Linked DNA regions of Drosophila melanogaster. The gene in region 1 interacts genetically with each later gene. Each region holds a gene or a part of one and is shown in the gene's direction. Other genes may lie near its edges.

Region 1 (8,237 bases):
GCGATGAGCAGATCCTGGATGCCACCTTCAATGTTCAGAGCGGAGAACCAGTGTGCAACAAGTGCTTCGTGGAGCGGTACACCTACACCTGTGCCGGCTGCAAGAAGCCGATCCTTGAAAAAACCATCTGCGCCATGGGGGAGAGCTGGCACGAAGATTGCTTTTGCTGCGGCGGTGCCTGCAAAAAGCCGCTCGCCAATCAAACGTTCTATGAGCGCGACGGCAAGCCCTATTGCAAAAAGGATTACGAGGACCTCTTTGCTGCCAGGTGCGCCAAGTGCGAGAAGCCTATAACGGACTCAGCGGTGCTCGCCATGAACGTGAAGTGGCATCGCGATTGCTTCCGGTGCAACAAGTGCGAGAATCCTATAACCTCGCAGACTTTCACCATCGACGGGGACAAGCCCGTGTGCCCCGCCTGCAATTGCTAACATCGTCCCGGATAACCATGGTGCATCCTTGCTCTTCCTCCAAATTGTTCATTTGCTTGCTTACAATAATGTTGAAATAGTTCCCGAAGCTTAGTAAGCCTAGAGGCATGCAAGAAAACAGACTTACACATTTAACACACAAACTTAATACACACACAAACACTAAATAAAAATAAAAAACAAATATGTTAAGTCTCTGTATTGGGGTAGACAGGTATACCCTAAGATTTGCCTTAGTGGTGTTGGTCACCCAAAATAACATTCTGATTACTGTGAGATAAGGTCGAGCAAGCCCTTTCCAATATGTTGCAGCCTTTCGTTAAATAACAAGCTTTTGGCAGCACTTTAAATAATGAATTATTTAATTTTAAAAACAAAAATTGAAGAGCTTTAAAAAATCTTTCCGTTAAGATCGCAGTACAACTGCCTTATCGATTCTTCTCGATATGAAGTGGTGGCCGTCTCTTGGCGTAGTCACGAATCGGTTACGCAGATGTGTAATCTAGATAAATATGGAATTAATACAAAAAAATTAAGAACAAGATAGAATTTTACATACGAGTTCCCCGACTATCAGATAACGGTTACTCAGCTGGTGTGAATGCAAAAGCGAAATTTAATAATTTTTCTGGGATATCGATAGAAAAAAATGAGTAAAAATTGTTTAAAAATGTGGGCGTTACTGTTTTGGGAGTTTTTAAGGTGAAAGGAGTGGCGTGTCCACAGTGCTTTTGGTATACATATAAAAATTGCCAAGACAAACAATAAAACGAAGAAAAATCTAAACATTTTTCAAAAGTGCGTGGCAGTTTTTGGCTTTAGGGCGTTTGAGTGGGCGTGGCAGAAAGTTTTTTTTGGCAAATCGATAGGAATTTCCAAGACTAATAAAAATATCAACAGTTTTCAAAAGTGTAGGCGTAGCAATTTAGTGCGGTTTTAGGGCGTGGCAAAAAGTTATGGAATTATGAAGAAATAATTTTCAAAATTTCTAAAATGTTAGCGTAGCAGTTATGGGCGGTTTTACGGCGTTAGAGTAGACGTGGCAAAAAGTTTTTTTGCAAATTGATAAAAAATGAAATGTAAAAAAATATCAAGACTTTTTTAAAAGTGTGGGAGTGGCCGTTTTTTGCGGCTTGTGGGCGTGGCAGCATGGGCCAACAAACTTGCGCTGCATCGTTGTCTCTAGAATTTGTATGCTGAATCTCATACGAACAGACGGGCATGGCTAGATCGACTCGGCAATTGATCCTGATCAAGAATATATATACTTTGTATGTTCGGAAACGCTTCCTTCTGCCTGTTACATACTTTTTAACGAATCTAGTATACCCTTATTATACCCGTTATTGCTTGTTGTTGTGCTCCCATTTTGTGTGAAACATCTAATAGAAAGTAAAGTAACAACGGTGGCCCTGTGACAACTGTTTTGATATATGAGAACAGTACAATTACGAACTAGGAAAAACACACTGCGAAAAGAGGAAGTAGTGAAACAGGCGACAAACCCAGTAAGAAATACACCCAATCTTAAAATAAGTACAGAATTATAATTTGTCTCATTAATATTTGCGTTGCCCAGTGTTTATCGTTCCATAGCCATCTTCCGTTGTTTCTTTCAATAAAATAATCGATAGCTGCCCTGTTTTGTACATTTTGTATTTTAACCTCAATTTACGATATATACGAGCAATTCAATCAAAAAAGAGTAATTGAACAATCCCTTGGTAATGCGCATTAAAAATCATTTTTTATTAGCAGTTACCAATCGAGAAGCCAAAATGACTGAGAGCATTGTGTGTCACAAGTGCCAGGAGGCCATCACCAAGCGTATGATCACCGCCCTGGGCAAGACGTGGCACCCGGAGCACTTCCTGTGCCACCACTGCGATGAGCAGATCCTGGATGCCACCTTCAATGTTCAGAGCGGAGAACCAGTGTGCAACAAGTGCTTCGTGGAGCGGTACACCTACACCTGTGCCGGCTGCAAGAAGCCGATCCTTGAAAAAACCATCTGCGCCATGGGGGAGAGGTGGCACGAAGCTTGCTTTTGCTGCGGCGGTGCCTGCAAGAAGCCGCTCGCCAGTCAAACGTTCTATGAGCGCGACGGCAAGCCCTATTGCAAACAGGATTACGAGAACCTCTTTGCTGCCAGGTGCGCCAAGTGCGAGAAGCCTATAACGGACTCAGCGGTGCTCGCCATGAACGTGAAGTGGCATCGCAATTGCTTCCAGTGCAACAAATGCGAGAATCCTATAACCTCGCAGACTTTTACCATCGACGGGGACAAGCCCGTGTGCCCCGCCTGCAATTGCTAACATCGTCCCGGACCCATGATCTTACTCCAAATTGTTTAGTTCCTTTCTTACACTAATGTTGAAATAGTTCCCGATGCTTATGAAGCCTAGAGGCATGAAAGAAATCAGACCCACACATTTGACCACACTTAACATTTCGCACACGCACACACTAAATAAAAATAAATATGTAAAGTCTCTGTATTGGGGTGGCCAGGTAAACCCTTTTATCGTTAAGATTTGCCTAAGACCAACAACACCCACAACAACATACTGATTACTGCGAGATAAACTAGAACGCAAGCCCTTTCCCAATTTTGAGTAAATATTTTCCCCAAACCCAGTGAAAAGAAGCTGTCGAGGAAAGTGTGCTTGATATGAGATCATGTTTCCAAGGGTAAATATGCTACCCAGCCTTGGAACATGCACATCTGATTATCTCATAAACGCCATTAGTCGGTGGAATTATGTTGTTTGGAGGAGGGGTATCCCAGCAGTGCAGCGGAAAATGGAAAACTCTGCGAGGGTGTGCTGACGTGCCGTCATCGTGGAAAATTCATACATTCGGGTAAAATACACGAAGCGGCTTCGTTAGTCAAGTTTTCGTTACGATTTTGTGGGCTCTGCGGCTTTGGAGTTGCCGGCTGCCGGTTTCAGTTTCATTTTTCAAACGGAGCTCGTGCAAAGCGGTTCGGTTGGTCTTTAAGCGATTTTCCACAAACCAAAAAGTATTTCCGCGGAAAAGCTGCCCGAAAACGGGAAAAGAGAGGTGGCTAATTAATTACACTGTTGAAACTGTCCCATAAATAATTGCCGTTTGAGTCGAACAATTAAGGAGTCTGTAAAAAGCTGCAGCAGCTGCAAGCCTCCATAAATCGTGTCTATCAAAATCAAGATCGTGGTTTACGTATGTTGCGAACTTTGAAATTTATTTGCGATCTATGGCCAGATTTTCCAGATTCGGATTTTCCAAATGCAGCCAATATCCTCACGTCTAGTGGCACTGACAACTCAATACAGTATATCGTGTAGATTGGCATCAGATAATTGTGATTTAGCCGTGCGTGTTGAAGTGGAATTAGTTTACTCAATTTGCAACTTCAAGTAATTGCAGTTTATTGAGGAAAATATTTTAATATATTAAAGCTGAAGTGGCGGGATAACAGATTAGCTATAAATATATATATATATACATATATGTATGTATGCAAAGACACATCTTTGATAGTAAAACACTAAGTGTGGGTGGTCTGAGCGTTTATTCTAATTGATAATTATTTTAATTAATACAAAAGATATCTAATCTTGTACTTCTACATTTTAAATGCCTGTTAAGGTCTTTCGTGCTTGCGTTTGCTCAGGTGGAGGCAGAGCTTATAAAAATGTTAATCTTACAAATTATAAAATGTGGGATTAATTGGAAAATGTTTTATTTTGATTACCTAGGTGACAGAAAATTAATTGTTAGCATATGCAAATGTCAGTCGCGATGTGAATTTGCATTTTACGAATGTGTCTACAAGCGATCAGGTCTAAAAACTCAATCAATGGGATCAATTAGGGTTTGTAATACTTGCTATTGCTGACTGTGTTGGATCAAAAAGAACATCACGCACACCTTTAAAGCGGCTGTCATTCCAGAACCTTTTTTCGTGGAAATGGAATCCAAGCCAGGCTCTAAGCTTCCAGGCCAAATTTATTGACGCTACTCTGGCATTCTTTTTCAATTCGTAGATGTCTGTGAACGAAAAAATAACTTACAAGCCGATGGCACTGGAAAAGGTCCAAGCCTAAGTCAATAATATCATCGAATTATTCTATTTGGTTTTTATTCACAGCTCATTATACCAATACTCATATATAAAATACCATTTAAAGTTAGGGGAAAGATTGAAAAAGTAGCAATAATTCGATGAAACCAAATGAAGCAACATTTTTTTTTATTGTGTAAGCCATAATATTTTTAAACACGACACATTAAAAAATTTTTTTTTACATTTCTGTATTCATTAAATCTTTGCAATGCAAAATGTTCTTCATTATGATAAAGCAATGCAAAAGGCAAACATTTGATTAAAATTAAGCTCCCAGTACGCATTCTTAGAATCTTTTTTTGTCGCAGTGCAGTTAAAAAACAGTCGGGGCAGTCACTGGCACTGAAGAACCTCCACAGTCGTACTTTGACTCTTGCGGTCGTCGGATGTTTGTAAGTTTGCCGGCTTCGCATAAGTTTTATATGGAAATTGCCATTTTTGGCGTTTCGAGCAACAGGACGGCTATAGACGCACCTTAAAAGTCCACCCGGATCGGCTGGGTCGCGCTTAACCTTTAATGGGGAAACGCCATGGCCCGAGCCTTTGAGAGCCCCTCCAGTTGGCAACCGGTTGGCTTCCAGTGAATGTCTCTGAGTTTCTGTGTGTGTCTGCTGCAAAAGCCTCTTTGTGTCAAGTCGTATGTTATTAGCATCCGCCAACTGAGCTCCCAGTGTGTCAAAAGATTTGAACTTTAAAGTGCTCAGGTGCTGAAGAGGCCCACAGACGAAAAGTAGACAGCAGACACTTGGACTGCCAGTCAGTCAGTCAGTCAGTCAGTTAGTCGGTCTCTCGGTCTTTGAATACACTGCGAATAAAACTGTGATAATCGCACATTTGGCCATGCTATCGGAAACTATCTTTAGAAAATGTGCTTTATTTCAAGCAAATGTGATTGCAATGATTAAGAAAAACGGATAGAAGAGTGTTGTACTAAGTACCAAAATACCGAAATTACTTAAAGCAAATCCCATTTACCAATAAATTGAAATGATCCAAATTCAATGAGTTTCAGCTTCAGTTTACACAGTTTTTCCCATTCGACTTTTCGGCCAGTGTTTGTGAATTGCTTATCACGTTGTTTGACTTTGAGCTCGTTTGAATTATGCGTGCTATCTTCCATTGCCATTCCCCTGGCCAGCGGGTAGTTCACGCCGCAATTGTCTCTTTCGGGTTCTTTTTATCACACCTGCCGTGCACCGCTGGATACCACACATATGCCGTCCATCCATCCGCACTGGAGCGATGTGGAGTGGAGTACCTAGAGTACTCTGTGGGGTATGGAGTAGGTAGAGTACTCGCACGTCCACAAACTTTTTTTGCCTTTTCCTTGACACGTCCTCGTTGAGCGTTGCTTGGTACTTGCATAGAATTAGTTATCGTAACTAGTTCTATTGTTTTTCGTATTCAAAATTCATCAGGGTTTTCGGCAGTTGGTTAGGAAGTTTAGAAATCTTAATAAATTAGCATTACCACTGTATACAAAACTCTGGTAATTTTAAGCCCGAAACTGTCTCAAAAACCATTCAACTTTTTGACTTAAGGCAGCCAGAGCAAATTGTGAAGTAAACCCACATTGTTTGCCCAAATAATTTAATTAAATTATTCCACTTAAAAACCGATTGAGCAAACTGAAAGCCATTCGACATGGAGTGAATCGGCAAAAAGAACAATTAATAATGATAAGAGCAACAAATAGCACGCACCCGAGGCGCTCGACTTTTAAAATTTAGAATTAGAAAAATATAAAACAAAAAACAGAAAGCAACGCCAATAAGCCTCTCACCTGGCGCTGGCCAAAAATAGCAACCGAAGACCATTTAATAACAATATCAATATGCGAAACAAATTCAAAGCTCATTTTGAATTGCAATAATCAGAATTCGTAGACCGCGCGGCTCTTGAGAATTTTGTGCGGAATTAATTGAGTGATAAATTAGATTGCTTAAATGACAAACGGGAGCGTGGGCGCCGCTATCAATAAAAATAATTAGCAGTCATACCCTTTCAGTGGGTACATTGATGTTTACGAAAACTCATTTTGAAATAAAAAAAATTAATTTTCCAAATTGTTATTTTGGTAAACCTAAACCTCTGTTACTTGTTTTCAAAAGCTTACGTTCTGCACCAAAAACGAAAAACTATTAATGTTCGTGGTCTAAATATCCGCAAAACTCATTGTTATTTTTTCATATTTTCTGCTCTGGTTTTCGCACATTAATTGATAAATGCTACTTATCAATTTGTGGCAAAAGTAATTAAGCTTGTGACGGAATCGAACGTGGCTAATTGGATACAGCATTGGAAAAGAATACCATCACAGAGAAAAAAAACACGGAACATAAAAAATCAAACAAATAGCGACAATTTGTAGAGAAAACCCATTAAAAGCGACGTTCACTATGTGTAAATATGTAATGTGCGTCTACGAGTGAGCGAAAATTGCCGACTGATAACTGACTTTTTGAAAAAGTAACCACGATGGAGTCAACTACTATTGTTTTTGTGACTCTGCTCACAATTATAACCCAACGTAAACACTGTGCGGGTAAGTGAGCTACAAACAATTTAAGGATGGCAAAAATGTTAAGCTTTATTACTCAATGTGGTCGATTGGGTGATTTATCGATCCATTTCAATTTGAATTTAGGCAGCTTGGGAAACAAGAATAGTCGAAACAATTAACACCTTTTATAACTGACTACTGTGACAAGGCTTTGCCAAAATGGATTTTTTAACTTGAAACTAGTTAAATGTTTTATTAATTGGGTATTGGAGTCGTCGGTCAATGTATATCAACTTATATGTAGTAAAGCACGTTAACCCCTTTTTCTCCTGTTTCTGTGGCAAATGGGAATCTCGCAAAAGGCAATTACCCTCATTTCCATAGAGTGCCAGTGAACGAATCTCCCAGATAACCTTAACACCAATATATGCACAGTGGGAATGCAACCGAAGATATGATGTTTCCATTAGAGGTGTAATAAAGTGCAATCTCCTTTTATGACTTTTTTAGGTTGTTGTGCTCAAAGACGCACTGCTTAGCTCCTAATTATAGGCCCATTGCGTTCCACGCGACCAGCAAGGCTCTTATTTTTATTCGCCTGGCACAGGTGTGAACTGACGTCTTGACAAGTTGGTAAGCGATATGTGGGCCCGGCCTTTCGCTTTTGACTTTGCAACCAACTGACTGACGCTGATGGACTGGTCTACCGACCAACTCCCTGGGGCCGCTCCATCAATGCCTCAAACTGGGGGGAAAAAAAAACTTTACACATTGGAAACATGTAAATTTCAATTTCCGCATAGTAAACTCAGTTCGTCCTTTGTTGAATATTAACTTTAAATATTACTTACTTTCTATTTTTACAAATGTTTTCTAAATATCATATAACATTATCATGTCATATATTTTCTTTACAATTTTTTACCTTTTTACTGGGTTTGATTTGATTTCTATGCTTGAACGAGAAATTAAAAACAAAACAGTAAAGTATGTTAATTTTTCTTGTGGAATAATTGTATTTATTAGTCTAGCGGTTGTATAAATATATTGCAATATATTAAGACCAATTGTATTTTTGTTAGTGCATGACGTGCCAGACAAGTACACGCCCAAAAAATTAATTCATCACGCTGCAAAGTCACATTTGATATTTTTTGGGGGATGACTACCACTGCGATCCATTCCAAGACAGCTG
Region 2 (6,810 bases), 1.6 Mb from region 1:
TGTGGCGGTTTTACTAACTTGCAACGTTTAAGACTTAATAGATTCAATGGATATACAAACTATATGTCGCTGATTATCGGTAATAGGTTACTTCAGGAATAAATAGCCCGGTTTCCAAATGTTAGAATAATACTCATGAGCAAACTGCATCCATCAATTTATGTGCACAATGTACTGGCAAGCAAACTAATAAAATGATTTATTAAAAGATGAGTAATAAAAGTATGTGTCGTGAGAAAAGACTATGATTTGGTGGGTTTTGATGGACATAAGGCAATAGTAGCTACTAAGCTGTGTTAGTAAACGGGTCCGCTGAATCCCTCTGTGCCAGAGATTATCCGCAGTTGATCGTTGAAGCTCTGCGCGGGCGGAATCTGATTCTTCTTAGAATCCTTTTCCATTGAACGGGATCGCAGATGCGGCTTATTCTTAACGCAACTGAGTGGAGTTCGCTTTTGTGCGGACAGGGGGGTACTGTTTGTCTTGGGCGTAATGGATCCTCCGGTCACCGGGGACCCCTCCTCTTGGTCAACATAGATCTTTGGCTTGTTGGCTCTGGCGGGCTTGCGCGGTGGCACACGACGCTTGTGACCCAAACGCACTCGCTCCAAATGTTTGTTCGACGGCACTTCTGGTAGCTGCTCCTCGCCAGCGACAAAGGAGGCCATGCTGCTGCCAGTGCTGAGATTCAGGGTCAGTGTTTCCAGGATGTGCTCCAGCATCTGGGCCTCGCGTGCCTCCTCCTCCTCGTCGTCGCAGAAGATGATGGGTGTGCGATCGACGCCCAGGCTGGGCGATCGGGGATCACCATGGGGCTGCTGTTCTGGCGGGGGCGTGGCCATTTTCACCTGGCCCTGCTCCAGATTCGGCTCCTGATACGGCAGCAGCTGTTGCTCGCAAGGCAAGGTTTCTTCCTGATCATAGGGCAGTGAAACAATCTCCAGGGAAATATTGTTGTGTGCAGCAGACGGCGGTGTGCCGAAGCTATCGCAGCTCTCCTCTAAATCCACTTGGGGCGGTGATGCAGGCACTGCTCTCTGTGCTGTACCCACCCTGGTGTCCACGAAGAGATCGGCGAATGTGTCATCCATATTAAGCGAACGAACCTCATCGAGGACCAGTGGAGTGCGATTCAGCTGAGGAGAGCGAGGATCGTTCAGGGAGAAGCCCTTGAGCAAACGTTTTCGCAGCATGGAGAAGGCATTTTCACTGGTGGTCACATGCTGCTCCTCCTCCTCAACGCGAGGTTTTGACGCCTGCAAGAACTACAACGCAGCCATCATTACTAGGGTTAGTAATATCAAAAAATACCTAATGCCTATAAACTCACGGTTAAAGGCGTGCGGCAGCCATTTGGTGATCGAGGATCGAGCAAAGCGTTGTTTTGCTCTCGATTCGGCGTCGTCATTTCCATTTGTTCTCGCTTTTCGCTGGCCAGGCGCATTTTGTTTAGTGTCGGCGTATCCGGCAGATATTCACCTTCCATTTTTGTTGCCTTTGCTCCCATTTTAATCAAATAATCTGACTTATTTTGCGACTTCTCACTAAATGTTGCGGGGTAAAATAAAATCGTTGCCGCGCATTTGTTTTGAAATGGCGTCGTGTGGAGTTGCCGGATCAGGAAATGCCAACTGGTAACAGTATTGTTAACGTCAGTCTAGCTATTTTCAAGCCAATTCTAGCAGTGATTACAAATGGATTTTATCACTAGTTCTTTCATTATTACTAATAACTAACTAATCGTTACAAATATAAATAGAAATTAAACAACGTTTGGGATATTTAGAACTTAAGTCTGTAATGTTTAGGTGGATTCTTCTTGTTTTACTCCTCTCAAATAAATTTATGAATTGATTTTTATTTATAGTACATAAGAAAATGTAAAATTCAGTAAACAAATAAACTAATATTAAAGTTATCAGATATTTTTTTTAATTTCGCTTTACAGCACTGATTTTTATGCTGCCTCGCGATAGTGTCATCTCCCTCCAGCTAAAGTCTGGCAACACTTGTTCATTTAAGACGCGACACAACGAATTGTACTCTTTCAGTTTTTCAAAAAGAAAATGGCATGAAAACAGGCCAAAAAAGTGCGACAAACGAAGAGCTAAATCCCAAAGTAAGTGGTAAAGTAAGTGATAAACATCCAAATGAAAGCAACCCAAATGCATACATAAATGCGCGAGTGTGTGTGCTAAATTATAACAGTAGTGACTGTGTACCTTCACGGAAAAAGGGAAATGAAGACAGGAAACTGGGTTTTTTTACTCCAGATGACTATTTTTATTGAATTTACGCAGTTGCTGTACTAAATAGGCGAGTGTTTTTGTGTATGTGTGTGTGGGCGCCGCAAGCAGCAGTAAATTCTCCTGTGTGTATATGTGTTTTTTTTTTCTATGGCCGTCTCCTTTTTACACACACTAGCGCACAATACAGCTGCGCCTTGTTTTTTGCCGACATTTTTTCTGCTTAGTTTTATTTATTTTATTTCAATTAGGCAGACAAATTATTTTGCTCGCTTTGTGGAGCCATCAATGTGGGTTAGTAAGCTAAAGTGCTGCGTAAAATTGCGCTATTGTTTTATTTGCCAATTGTAGCGCAAAAAGTAAGCAAATTGTATACACACAAACGCCAGAGCGCATGTCGTGCAGACTTTCTCTCTTGCTCCAAATTGCGAGTGTATGCATCTGCGTTCGTGTGCGTGTGAGTACTGAAAACAACCGAATTTCATTCATTGCTCATTTCCGAGAAAAACTACACGCTACACTCGTCGCCATCTGCAATTGCACCTCTGTGTGCGTAAGTCACTGTATCACAAGTACATTATATGAACTATGTATATAGGAGCCGCTGCAGTTGTGCAACATGTTAATTGATTCCAGGGGCTGCTGGGCGTGGCAGGTGCAAAAGCCCCTTCCACCTGGCTTCTATTTACAGAAACTTCTTCCCACTTCCAGAGTTCAACATTCTTGCTCTTCCCGTCGCTTGACCGCGTTTTTCAAACATTCCACGAGCGGTCTTAGCACACTCACACCGGCACGCTATGTGTGTATACATACGTATGTACGTATATTGATTTCAATCAACTTTGAAGCGCGCTCTGGCCTTCTCCTTCGCTCATTCGGCGGTGTGCTATGCTCTGCCTGTCTCTCTCGTGCTCATCTGTCAATTGAGCACCACGTCCGTTTGTCGGCTCATCAGCAATTTACACAGACACACACTTCACCGCGCTGCATCCGTGTGGGTAAATTCCATTTCCTGTTTATAATATTGCGGCGTCTTGTCTGTCTGTCTGTCTGGCGTACAGCGGAGACGCAAACCAGCGTCCCTTTCGCCTTTCGTTCCGCTCATCTCGCTGCACAATGGATCGATCCTAAATAAGCATCTTTTAAAAAGTATTCAAAGTTTGTAAATCGTAACGCATAGCAAATATATTGTTATCGTCATAGTTTGTCATGGTTATAGTTTTGTTAGCTTATTTTTGTTATTCTAAACATTTTAAATTAATACTACATCTTTTTGCAAATCGGATATCCGTCTACTTTCGCTCTTATCCCACGTACATATCTCCCACTTACGATCATCCGCGAGTTTCGGTTCCGTAGCACGTTACCTTACGCATCGCAACCACTGTGCCGTTGGCATTGGAACGCTGACCGCTTTGCGGCTGGGAACGATGGGGAATCGGAACATCCGAATGCGACGCGCTCCGCTCTTATTCGAATTCCCAGCCTGATCCGGCTGTCACTGCTCTTGTTGTTGCGGCAGCGGTGAGTTGAGTAGTACAGTACGTGCCACTTCCTTTACATTCAGAAAAATAAAAATTGCTCACACACACTCATGCATGTATACGCCTAAAGCATACATAAACAGACGTTCCGGACAGACAGACAAACATTGAGTGGAGCGTTGGGAGGGGAGCGGTTGCTTGGCGTCTGCGCCGTGTGTTGTTGCTTTTATGCTGCCCCTACTTATTGTTCTTGTACAGTTGCAAAGCCACTCACATGCGTGTGTGTGTGTGTGTGTGGAGCCAAAACAGTGAAAACGAGTTTGATGTCTGGCTAGATATGGCAACTCTGTCGGCGAGTGCACATCCCCCCAACCCCAAGCCCCAAGCACCCGCTTATTAGAAGAGAAATACCGCAGAGCGTTGTTGTTGATTTTACGTAAGAAGGCCGTCGAACTCAGCATAGAAAATGGTGAGCGAAAGAAAGAGCGGCCGCGAGATAGATGAAATATGGGGGCCCACGACCAGAACCACAGCCAGAGAGAGTGTGCATGCAAATAGGTGCGAGTGTGTGCGTCTAATGATTACCGTTACTATTTGCATGTTGTCTAGTCAGACGTCTCGCGACCCAGACTGTGCGACCCACCAGGCAATTGGCGAAAAATTCTTCGTCGTGACCTTTCATCGTCATCGTTTCAACCGGACATCCAAGCTATATGCATATGTATGTATGTATGTGTGCGTGACAGTAATGTTGTTTATTGATTTTATTAGCATTGCCTTCGAATTGGCTTTCCGAATGAGCATACAAATATATACGACAATGACGGTAATGGCGGTAAAAACGTTAGCAAATTGCAAGAATGCACTGAAAAAAATTCATACAGTGGGGCAATTAAAAGTACATTAATGTCTCTAGGGCTCTAGGAACTCTGCTGGTTCGTAACATTTAGATTGCAGATATGAACTAACTAATATCGGCCAAATTACGCGAAAGAAAACCAATTACAAAGCGGTCTGGAGGAATCCTTCGCAAAGCATTGCTAGTGCTGTGACTGCAGCTGTACACTTGCCACTCAGTTGCGTGCATTTCTGCATTTCTGCCGGCTGTGGTTCAACGTCCTAAGCCGCACACAACAAGTGCAACAATTGTAACATCAACAAAGCAACAGAACACCGCAAAAGGGGCAGAAAAGCGGTGTGGCAAAGAAGCACAACTTGATGGGGGAATCGGATTGGGAATGGGAATGCACAAATGCAGAAGCGAAGCGACGAAGATGGCAAACGGAATGAGGGCAGGTCCTAGGGCAATCCATTAACATTTTGCCCATCGCCCATCCCCCATCATCATCGTCATCGTCATCGTCGTCATCTTCTTGGTATTATTGTACAGTTGAACCTGTAGCACTGAGTCCCGTCCCGCTGGGCTGTGAACTAAGCCGATTGATTGTCCAAATCTCACCAGAATCGAATTGCCATCCGGGTGACTCTTGGTTTCTTTCTTTTCCTGCCTTTTTCTACTTTTCTCCCGCTTTTGGATGCATTCCGACATAACCCAGAAAGCGTGTGCCAGGTTGTTGCTGTTGTGTCGCTTGTGACGTCAATTGGCTGTGGAATGGTGTCTGCGGCCCACATTGCGGACCGACTGCCCACCGGAAACGGGTAGTTGTGCCGCTTTCATACATGCAGTACATGTACATAGGTCGAATCCGCCTTATTAGAGGTGGAGAAACATCGATGATTCCTCGAAAAACATCGATGTTTGTGATTTTTTGAAAAAATCGACGACATCGACGTTGGCATTTCAGTAAAGGAATTCCAAAATCTCATTTACCTGTGAAAACCGCGCCCCAAATGTTTTAGATCGCGTATGGATTTTCCCAGAATATATACATAAAATAAATATATGTAATTTTATAACATAAAGTTACCTCTTGGGAGCTCTCGAAGCTGCAGCACACCTTTTTACCATATTTTTGAGTGAATGTGCAGTTATTGGAGAAACCCTCTTCCAGCCCTGATACGCGAATCTCCAGCAAGTTGCTCCCATTTCAAGGGGCGTTGAATCGCGAGAATCTGGAAAGTCAAAATAGCAATATTTATGGCAACGACATCGGTCGGAGCTTTATTTTTGGCGCGCTTCTCGAGCGGCCAGAAGAAATTTCCCGAGGAATGGAATGTTGTTTACTTGCGCGCCTGCGCATCGCATCCGCATCCTCAACCTTCGGCCAGTTCCATGAAATCTGCAGTGGGGCCGAACTCGTCTGGGTTTCATCCTGTTCGTCCTGTTTGTCCGGCTACCTGCCCCGCCCCTGCGCACCGCCACGCCCTCCGCTCTCGAGCGCATTTTTCCTCTTTTTTTTTGTGCTTTTGCACCGCCGCTCTGCGTCGCTTCTTGTTTGTGTGCCTTTTGCTCCGCCAAGCTTAAAAGTGGCGGCGTCGGCGACGTCGTGTCAATAACATGTTGATCCTACATCGTGCGAAATCTTCTGGCAACACCAAAACAAAAACCAAAACAAGAGAGAGCCCTTTTTACGAAGCGTAACTACTCAGATATACCCTTTAGTCCAATAGGTAATATCATTTGTTTGCAATGACAGCTATAGGTGAGTGATTCCTATTGAATTTTGTATTGTGTGGCTTGACATTAATGGAATAATATTAATTTAAGATTTAAACGAGTAAAGTAGCTTCTGAGGCAATTTATTTGAGTAATTATGCAAAGTGTATTTTGGAAAAATTCTTTGCCTAAGAGCCCATCACCGTATACCCAATTAACTCTCCAAGTAACGGGTATACAACAACATACAGCATGAGCTCGAAAGCCGCTCGCCACTTTGTTGTTATTATGCCGCATTTTTAGAGGAGAGACTTTGTCGCTCTCGTTCTCTCCCGCTCAGCGTGAGCCAGGGAATCTCGCTCTGCTGAAAAACACCTCCATCTTCAGAACCAATTTTGTTGTTGTTCGGCATTCGGTTTTCGAATCTTTGGCGGTGCGGTTGTGTTTTTTCGTGTGCGCGGTGTGCGTTGTCGGCGTTCTGCCCCCTAATGTTGTCCAAGTTTAAATGCAAACAGTTGGTAAT
Region 3 (6,464 bases), on another chromosome or scaffold:
AATCAAATTAATCTTGCTCTTTTCGTTAAGTAATTGGATCAATTTTTAACGAAAGTTTGGATCCAGAGACCACCGAAGAATCTAATGATTTGTTAGGAATAATAATAAAATAAATAGGTGTACAGACTTAGCATTTTTACCTTAAGATTTTTACAGAATAGAATGGAAGTACAAATTGGAAAATCAGGCCAGCTATTTAAAATTGTAAAGCCAAAATGAAATCGTAGTAGGCGAACACATCATATTCAATCTATTTTCATAAAAATATTTAGTTTAGCTCGATTCGGCATCGTCGGCAGTCCTATATCAACTAGAAAATATTTGGATTCAAAAAAAAAATTTTATTTTTATTTTTTTTAATATTCGTTGAAAATAAATGCAAGTATTAAAAATTATTACTATTACACAAAATGCTTAGAACAAAATTTATTGATTTTGAAATATTGTTTGGTTATATAGTTATTTATCGTTTATTTCAATAGAGATTCTAGTTCATTTGGTTATTGTGGAGCAAACATATGCAACGCAGTGAAGATGTTATCACAAGATGGTATTTCCGAGCCAATGGATCTTTGAGGCAGAGGCTTGTAAATATTTGTACATTCTGATCATATTTAATGAGATTCCAAACCTTTAGCTAGATGGTATCTTCAGCAATTTCCACCGAGCAGCTTGGACAATTAATATGTAGTTTATGGATCCTCTTTCAATGAATTTAGTATGCCCAAACTCGAAGGAGTTTCACCTCCATAAGAGCGACAGTCCTGGAGAAGTTATCAGAGCCAAAAAAATTCATATGATGATGCATTTTCCGTCTCTGAAAACGTCTTCAGCAGAAGTTGTTTTTAGCGAAGTGAAACTCATTCGATTTTGATCATACTAACGACATTGGATGCTTGGATCGGCAGTTTGGTGGAATATAAATACCAAGACCCTAAGACTGATGACGTACCTGCTAATGAAGATGATGGAGATATACTTGCATGCCAATTCAATAAGTTATAAGCACCCAATATAATAAAATTCAAATATTTATATTAAATACAAATATCCATCTTTAATTTTATTTTTGGTTCTCATCTTGGCAACAATAAATGTTGCTAAGCATTTTGCTTTCAACTTTCGCGTGAGCTGAATCGGTAAATTGAGCGAACCGGGAATCAAATGTTGCTAACGAAATGCTTACAAGCCGGTATCCAACTGGTATCTGAAACTGCTAGCAAAACGGGGAATCAAATGTTGCTAACGTAAACGAATTGAATTGATTTGTTTTATTTTAGATATAAAAATAAAAGTAGAATATCTAGAAATAAAAAATCCGAATTTTGAAGATTATTTAGAGACAATCTTGGAAATTTGTACAAATAAACACCCGTCCGGTTGAAGTTAAACAATATAATAAATTCTTATATCAAAATAAACTTGGTAATGTATATTGAAATTTTAAATAGTTTTTAAAATGTGTAAGTTGACTATTTATTCAAAACGGTTTGTTGCATTGCATCTGCTGAAATGCACTAATTTTGCCACGGAACTCGTTTTGAGAGCGAAAGAGAGAAATGAGAGAGCGAGTACGTTTCGTGGTATTTTTTAGTACGATTCGCGGCGGTGAAGGTGAATAGTGTTTTGGTCGTGGACATGAACGGCATTACGTTTTTCAACTCGGCCGCGCGAATAACTCGAAAAAGGCAGCTCCGCAGCCAAGGCATTTTGAAAAACACAAGTCCCCGACTCGAAACGCGACCAAATATTCGGTGTGTGACGCGAACTGCCAATGCAATAGTTCACTTAAGAATTGCAGATTACCGCGACTCTGGGCAGTTCTCATTCGATATTTGAATGTACCAAAAGAAAAGTGCCAGAACCAGAAATCAAAATAAAAGATCTTCTAACAGAATAACAAGAAGTGTTTCCTCCGAAAGATTAAAAAATCGCGAATGATTAAGAATCGCGGCACCGTTAGTTCCCTCTCTCGCTTTTCCCTTTTGCGCTTTTCTGCGTGAAAAGGAGAAGACTCCGCAGTTCGCGAAAAGAGCTTTTATTTCGCGACACTTAAAAATAAACACAGTCGAGGAAATTGCAACAAAAAATGTGGCGCGTGCACGTGTAGCTTGCAACAACGACAACAAGAAAACAACGAAAATGCTAAAAGCGAATTGCAAAACCATGTGCGACAAGTAACCAAAAAAAAAATTCAAAACATAAACACAATAAACAATTTGAGTAGTTGCCGCACACACACACACACACACACAGCCCGTGGATTATTACACTAAAAGCGACACTCAATCCAAAAAATCAGCAACAAAAACATCAATAAACATGCATTGGATTAAATGTTTATTAACAGCATTCATTTGCTTCACAGTCATCGTGCAGGTGAGTTTCAGTCCCAGGAAAAGCGCTCATTTTCCATCCAACAAGTTGTATTTTTTGGCAATTTATTTTCTTTATTTCTACGCGCACGCGTGCACTCACCGCTGAATTTTGCAGCTGGTGTGTTGTGCGCGCATGTGTGTGTGTGGGGCCAAAAGGGAAGAAACGATTGAAGGGTTGCCAGGTTACTAAATATTTTAAAACTTTTGGGGTTCCGTATGATCATCTCAAAATATCTATTTTGAAACCACTCCAACATCGCGTTTGCTTCCAAACTTATTTTTCAAGCTGGTAACCCGAGAACTTTTGGGTAGAAACAGCTGAGTTGATATTTTAAGCGGGTTGGCTTTTAGGGGTGGAAATTGTGGATCGGATCGTATCACCCTTTTCGGAACATGCATACATATTTCATAGAGCAAAACTAGTTTGGAAACATGCGAGGCCAATGCCCAAACAGGTCCATCCCCAAAAAATGGTTTAATTCTAGTACACAGCGGAAAAATATGAGGCATACGTTAGAAGAAATACCTTCAAGATAATTTTTGACATGCAGATCAGTTCAACTTCTTAGAAATCCTACTATGTGTACTAATTGTTCTCCGTGTAAAAACAGAGATGATCCAAGTCTGCCTCAACGTCAAAATTTACCACCAACGGCGTATGCATCCAGAGCAGCAGCAAAAAATGATAAAACTGCTCGATTTCAATATGAGGCTATATAGTAATGCTGTGCTACAAGCCCATGCTAAAAAGTTGATGATGCTGGGCAACATCTGCCGTTTTCGCCGTCATCTCCTCCTCTGTCCCTCCGCTTTGCATGCGCTTTTTACATGCGATTTTTTTCGGTTTACTTTTCGCTCTGCGTAGGTCAACGCGACACATGCTCAGCCTCACTTGCTCTCCCCTCCTTGCGTTGTTTCTCTTCTGTCATGCTTTCATTGATCTTTAACGCCAGCATCCCCTGGTTACACGGATAAAAAAAAGAGTTGTGCAGGGTTTCCAAACAGTGCGATCTCTAGAAAATAACACTAAATATTTTGTTGTTAATGTGTGGGTTAGTTTCAAAGATAAGAAAATATTAAATTATAATAAATCTTGACCATACATAGTATGTGTACATAGTATACATTTCATAGTTCAGAACTATTTAGCTACGAAGAAATTACAACTTAGATCCACAATATTAAGCTGATAGGGAGCTCTTTATTGATAATAGTACCCATTTACTCACCGTGCACCCTGCATGTGCTCCAATCCTCTACCGCTCTCCGCACTTCTTGATTTTCTCCCAACTTTGGCACGTTGCGTGCTTAAACTTCACTCTTCGACCAGCTTCTTTTTGCAGTCTGCTATTTAGTCGCTAATTTTAACAACGTCCCAAAAAAGTGTCTCGACGCCAACCTCCTGGGGTCTTGGGACTGCTGAAAATGCTCCCCGTATGTAGGCAGAAACATCTGCCCAATAATTCTGACTCATTTCCTTACTTACTTACAGGGAAAGGTGGAATAGTTTAATTTGTCATTTAAAATAATATCTCGGGCAATTAGCTTGCCATTAGCAATGCAATTTAATTCAATTTTCTGCCCATTCTATAAGGTATTATTCTCACAATTTCTTGGCCCTTTCTTGTCCCATGCTGCGTTTAAATTTCAATTTAACTATCAAATAACCGTAGTCGCCTTGTTTTCGCATTTATGCAATTTTCATATTAACATTGAGCGTCGAAGAAGTGAGTGAGTGAGCGAGTGAGTGAATGAATGAATGAATGAATGAAGACTGGGACTCGTGGGGGAGCACTCGTAGTCTTCTCGGCTCTGCTCTTTCTTCGCATAACATAATTAATTGCAATTTAGAAGCCAAAGAGGAAGACGACGACTACTCCCACACAATGCGATGGATGATTCACTTGCGCTTGTAACTGTTTCCCAAGCCCGTTGTTAACGGTTGATTATGATGATGAATTTAAATGATTAATAAACAACATGCAGGGTAGGGGCACCAAAGCAAACACCTGTAGGAAAGTCGAGGAAAAGTCGGGGAAAATTATAATAAAAATGCGTGCTTTCATACATTTTTATGTCCCCTTGTGTTGTTTTAACTTCTTCCCTGCTTTTTTTTCTACAACAACTGTCTGTCAGTCAAGGCAAGTTGACGTGGAAATGGCAAAAAATGAAAAGAAACGAAGAACTAACTAACTAGTCGCTTCAAGCCTCAGTGATCGCAGTAAAAATAGGAGTAGTGGCCAGTAAAGAGAAAGAAAACGAGAAACGGAGACAAAGAATGGCTCAAGCAAAAGGTAAACAATGCAACGCACTATTTTCTAACACTTTAACAAGTGTCTGTCTTCCATTTGAGAGGTTGGCAGCTCCAGCTTTCAAGTTCCACCTGGCGAAACCCCCTCGTAGATCCCCCCCACAAGTTTTACCTTTCGGTTATTCAGCCGCTGTGGAGTTCATAGTTGAAGGCAAAGGCAAACAAAAAGCGGAAGGAGAACCATTACCAGTGTACATATGCCAAAGTTATGAGGCGGATTGTGCAAGGTGTAACTGAGCATTCAACATTTTGGAATTACGATAAAAACAGTCGGAAAAGTTAGATCAAAGAGAAATATATTATATATTTTACGTTATTAGAACGAAAGTTATGTTTTTTAAATGCTAATTCATCATATTATCTACTACTTGTCCCTTTAAGAGCTTGCTAATACTAACCGCATACTTGGAGGGACTTTAAAACAGTGTGAGAAACTATAACCAAAATTGGTGTCAAATGGTGGACAAAACTATTGTGGTTTTAACGATTGCACTTTTTGTTTTGTTTTGCTTGTGCTTCCCACCATCTTTAGAGTGTGTGTGAATGTTTGTTTGGTGTTATGCAAATTGATTTGCTTGTTGTTTTGTCTTGCTTTTTTTGTGTTGTATATGTTGTGTCAACTTCTGCGCCTTTGTTTGTGTGTGCGCTTTTCGTTTGTCCCATTTTGTTGTTTATAGTCTAGTTTAGTTTGGCTTTCCACTGGACACGCCCCCCTGCCCGCCGCCTCCCACCTTTCTAACCTTCCTTCCACTCAATGGTTTTTCTCCCTCTTTCTCTTTCCCTTTTTTATTGTATTTCTTTTATTAATTCAGACGCATCGTTTGGCTTGATTGTCTATTAATTCATTTTGCCTGCTTCTTATTCTGTGCTTTTTTGCGCATATTTATGCTCCTCTTCAAAGCGCCGTTGAAAACAAGTTTTTGCTCTGGGAGAGCCTCGCTCTCGTGCTCTCTCTCTCTCTTTGGAGCAGCTGGCAGCTGCAGCTTGTAAGCTTGCACACACACACCAGCAAACACGCGACTCCAATTCACTTTTAAGTCACGCTTTGCTCTTTTTGCGCTCAGCTGACAACAACAACTACCGCTTTAGCTCTCTCTCGCTCTGCGCTAAACTGTTATAGCTTGGGGCCTCTCTCTCTCTCTCTCTTTTGGCGATCTTTCAATATGGCTGCATGCACTGCTCTTCTTCACCTGGCGTTTATTCGCTTACACCTTTTTACTTCTGCTCTCTCGCTCTTCGCCCAAGCGCTCCCCTTCTCACCCTCTCGCGCTGTCTCTTTTCCTCGTTTTAACCATCAATGTTGACCGGCAAAATCGTATGCCGTGGGAAACAATTCGGTTTTACTTGTACATTTTTTCATCGTTTTTCTCCGACGTTGACGTCGACGTCGGCGTCGCTGCCTGTTGCTGCTGCTTCTTTTATTTAAGTTTTTTGTTGTGTGTGTTTCTTTTTGTTTTGCTGCTCTTTTGCGTCCGTTTTGTTTTTGTTGGCTGCTTATTAATACATACACAGGAAAAAGAGTAGATTAAGTATTAGCATGCCTTTGTATAACATTTTGATAGGTGAACTGTTCACTTGTTGTACTTAAATACAAATATTAATTAATCTGTTTAATAAGAAGCTAAAATATTAGAACTTTGATTTTACACTTAAAGTAGTAATACAAATAAAAGTATGGTTATATCAGATCAATATTTCTTTCCGTACAATGTGTTTGCGCCGCGTTCGTTGCCTAAGTCTTTCGTTTGGCCGCTTACATTCGTTGAATGCGCCCT

What was found. A genetic interaction does not mean that the proteins touch.
Region 2: of Ret (region 1) and spi, changing one suppresses a phenotype caused by changing the other (phenotypic suppression), as found in Drosophila melanogaster (one study listed by BioGRID).
Region 3: of Ret (region 1) and Delta, changing one suppresses a phenotype caused by changing the other (phenotypic suppression), as found in Drosophila melanogaster (one study listed by BioGRID).

Annotation. Positions count from the first base shown.
Region 1 is NT_033779.5:21,193,910-21,202,146, reverse strand, and holds the start of Ret (Ret oncogene), read left to right. Parts: upstream 1-3,384; 5' UTR 3,385-3,494; intron 3,495-6,650; 5' UTR 6,651-7,017; coding exon 7,018-7,084; intron 7,085-8,237. Other genes in the region: CG31988 (uncharacterized protein), read left to right, coding at 1-431; CG31624 (uncharacterized protein), read left to right, coding at 2,210-2,746.
Region 2 is NT_033779.5:19,572,495-19,579,304, reverse strand, and holds the start of spi (spitz), read left to right. Parts: upstream 1-1,989; 5' UTR 1,990-2,119; intron 2,120-3,717; exon of another isoform or gene 3,718-3,770; intron 3,771-6,694; exon of another isoform or gene 6,695-6,805; intron 6,806-6,810. Other genes in the region: msb1l, read right to left, coding at 297-1,265, 1,331-1,507. UniProt on the Drosophila melanogaster protein: Ligand for the EGF receptor (Gurken). Involved in a number of unrelated developmental choices, for example, dorsal-ventral axis formation, glial migration, sensory organ determination, and muscle development. It is required for photoreceptor determination.
Region 3 is NT_033777.3:19,321,397-19,327,860, reverse strand, and holds the start of Delta (delta), read left to right. Parts: upstream 1-1,643; 5' UTR 1,644-2,322; coding exon 2,323-2,379; intron 2,380-6,464. UniProt on the Drosophila melanogaster protein: Acts as a ligand for Notch (N) receptor. Essential for proper differentiation of ectoderm. Delta is required for the correct separation of neural and epidermal cell lineages.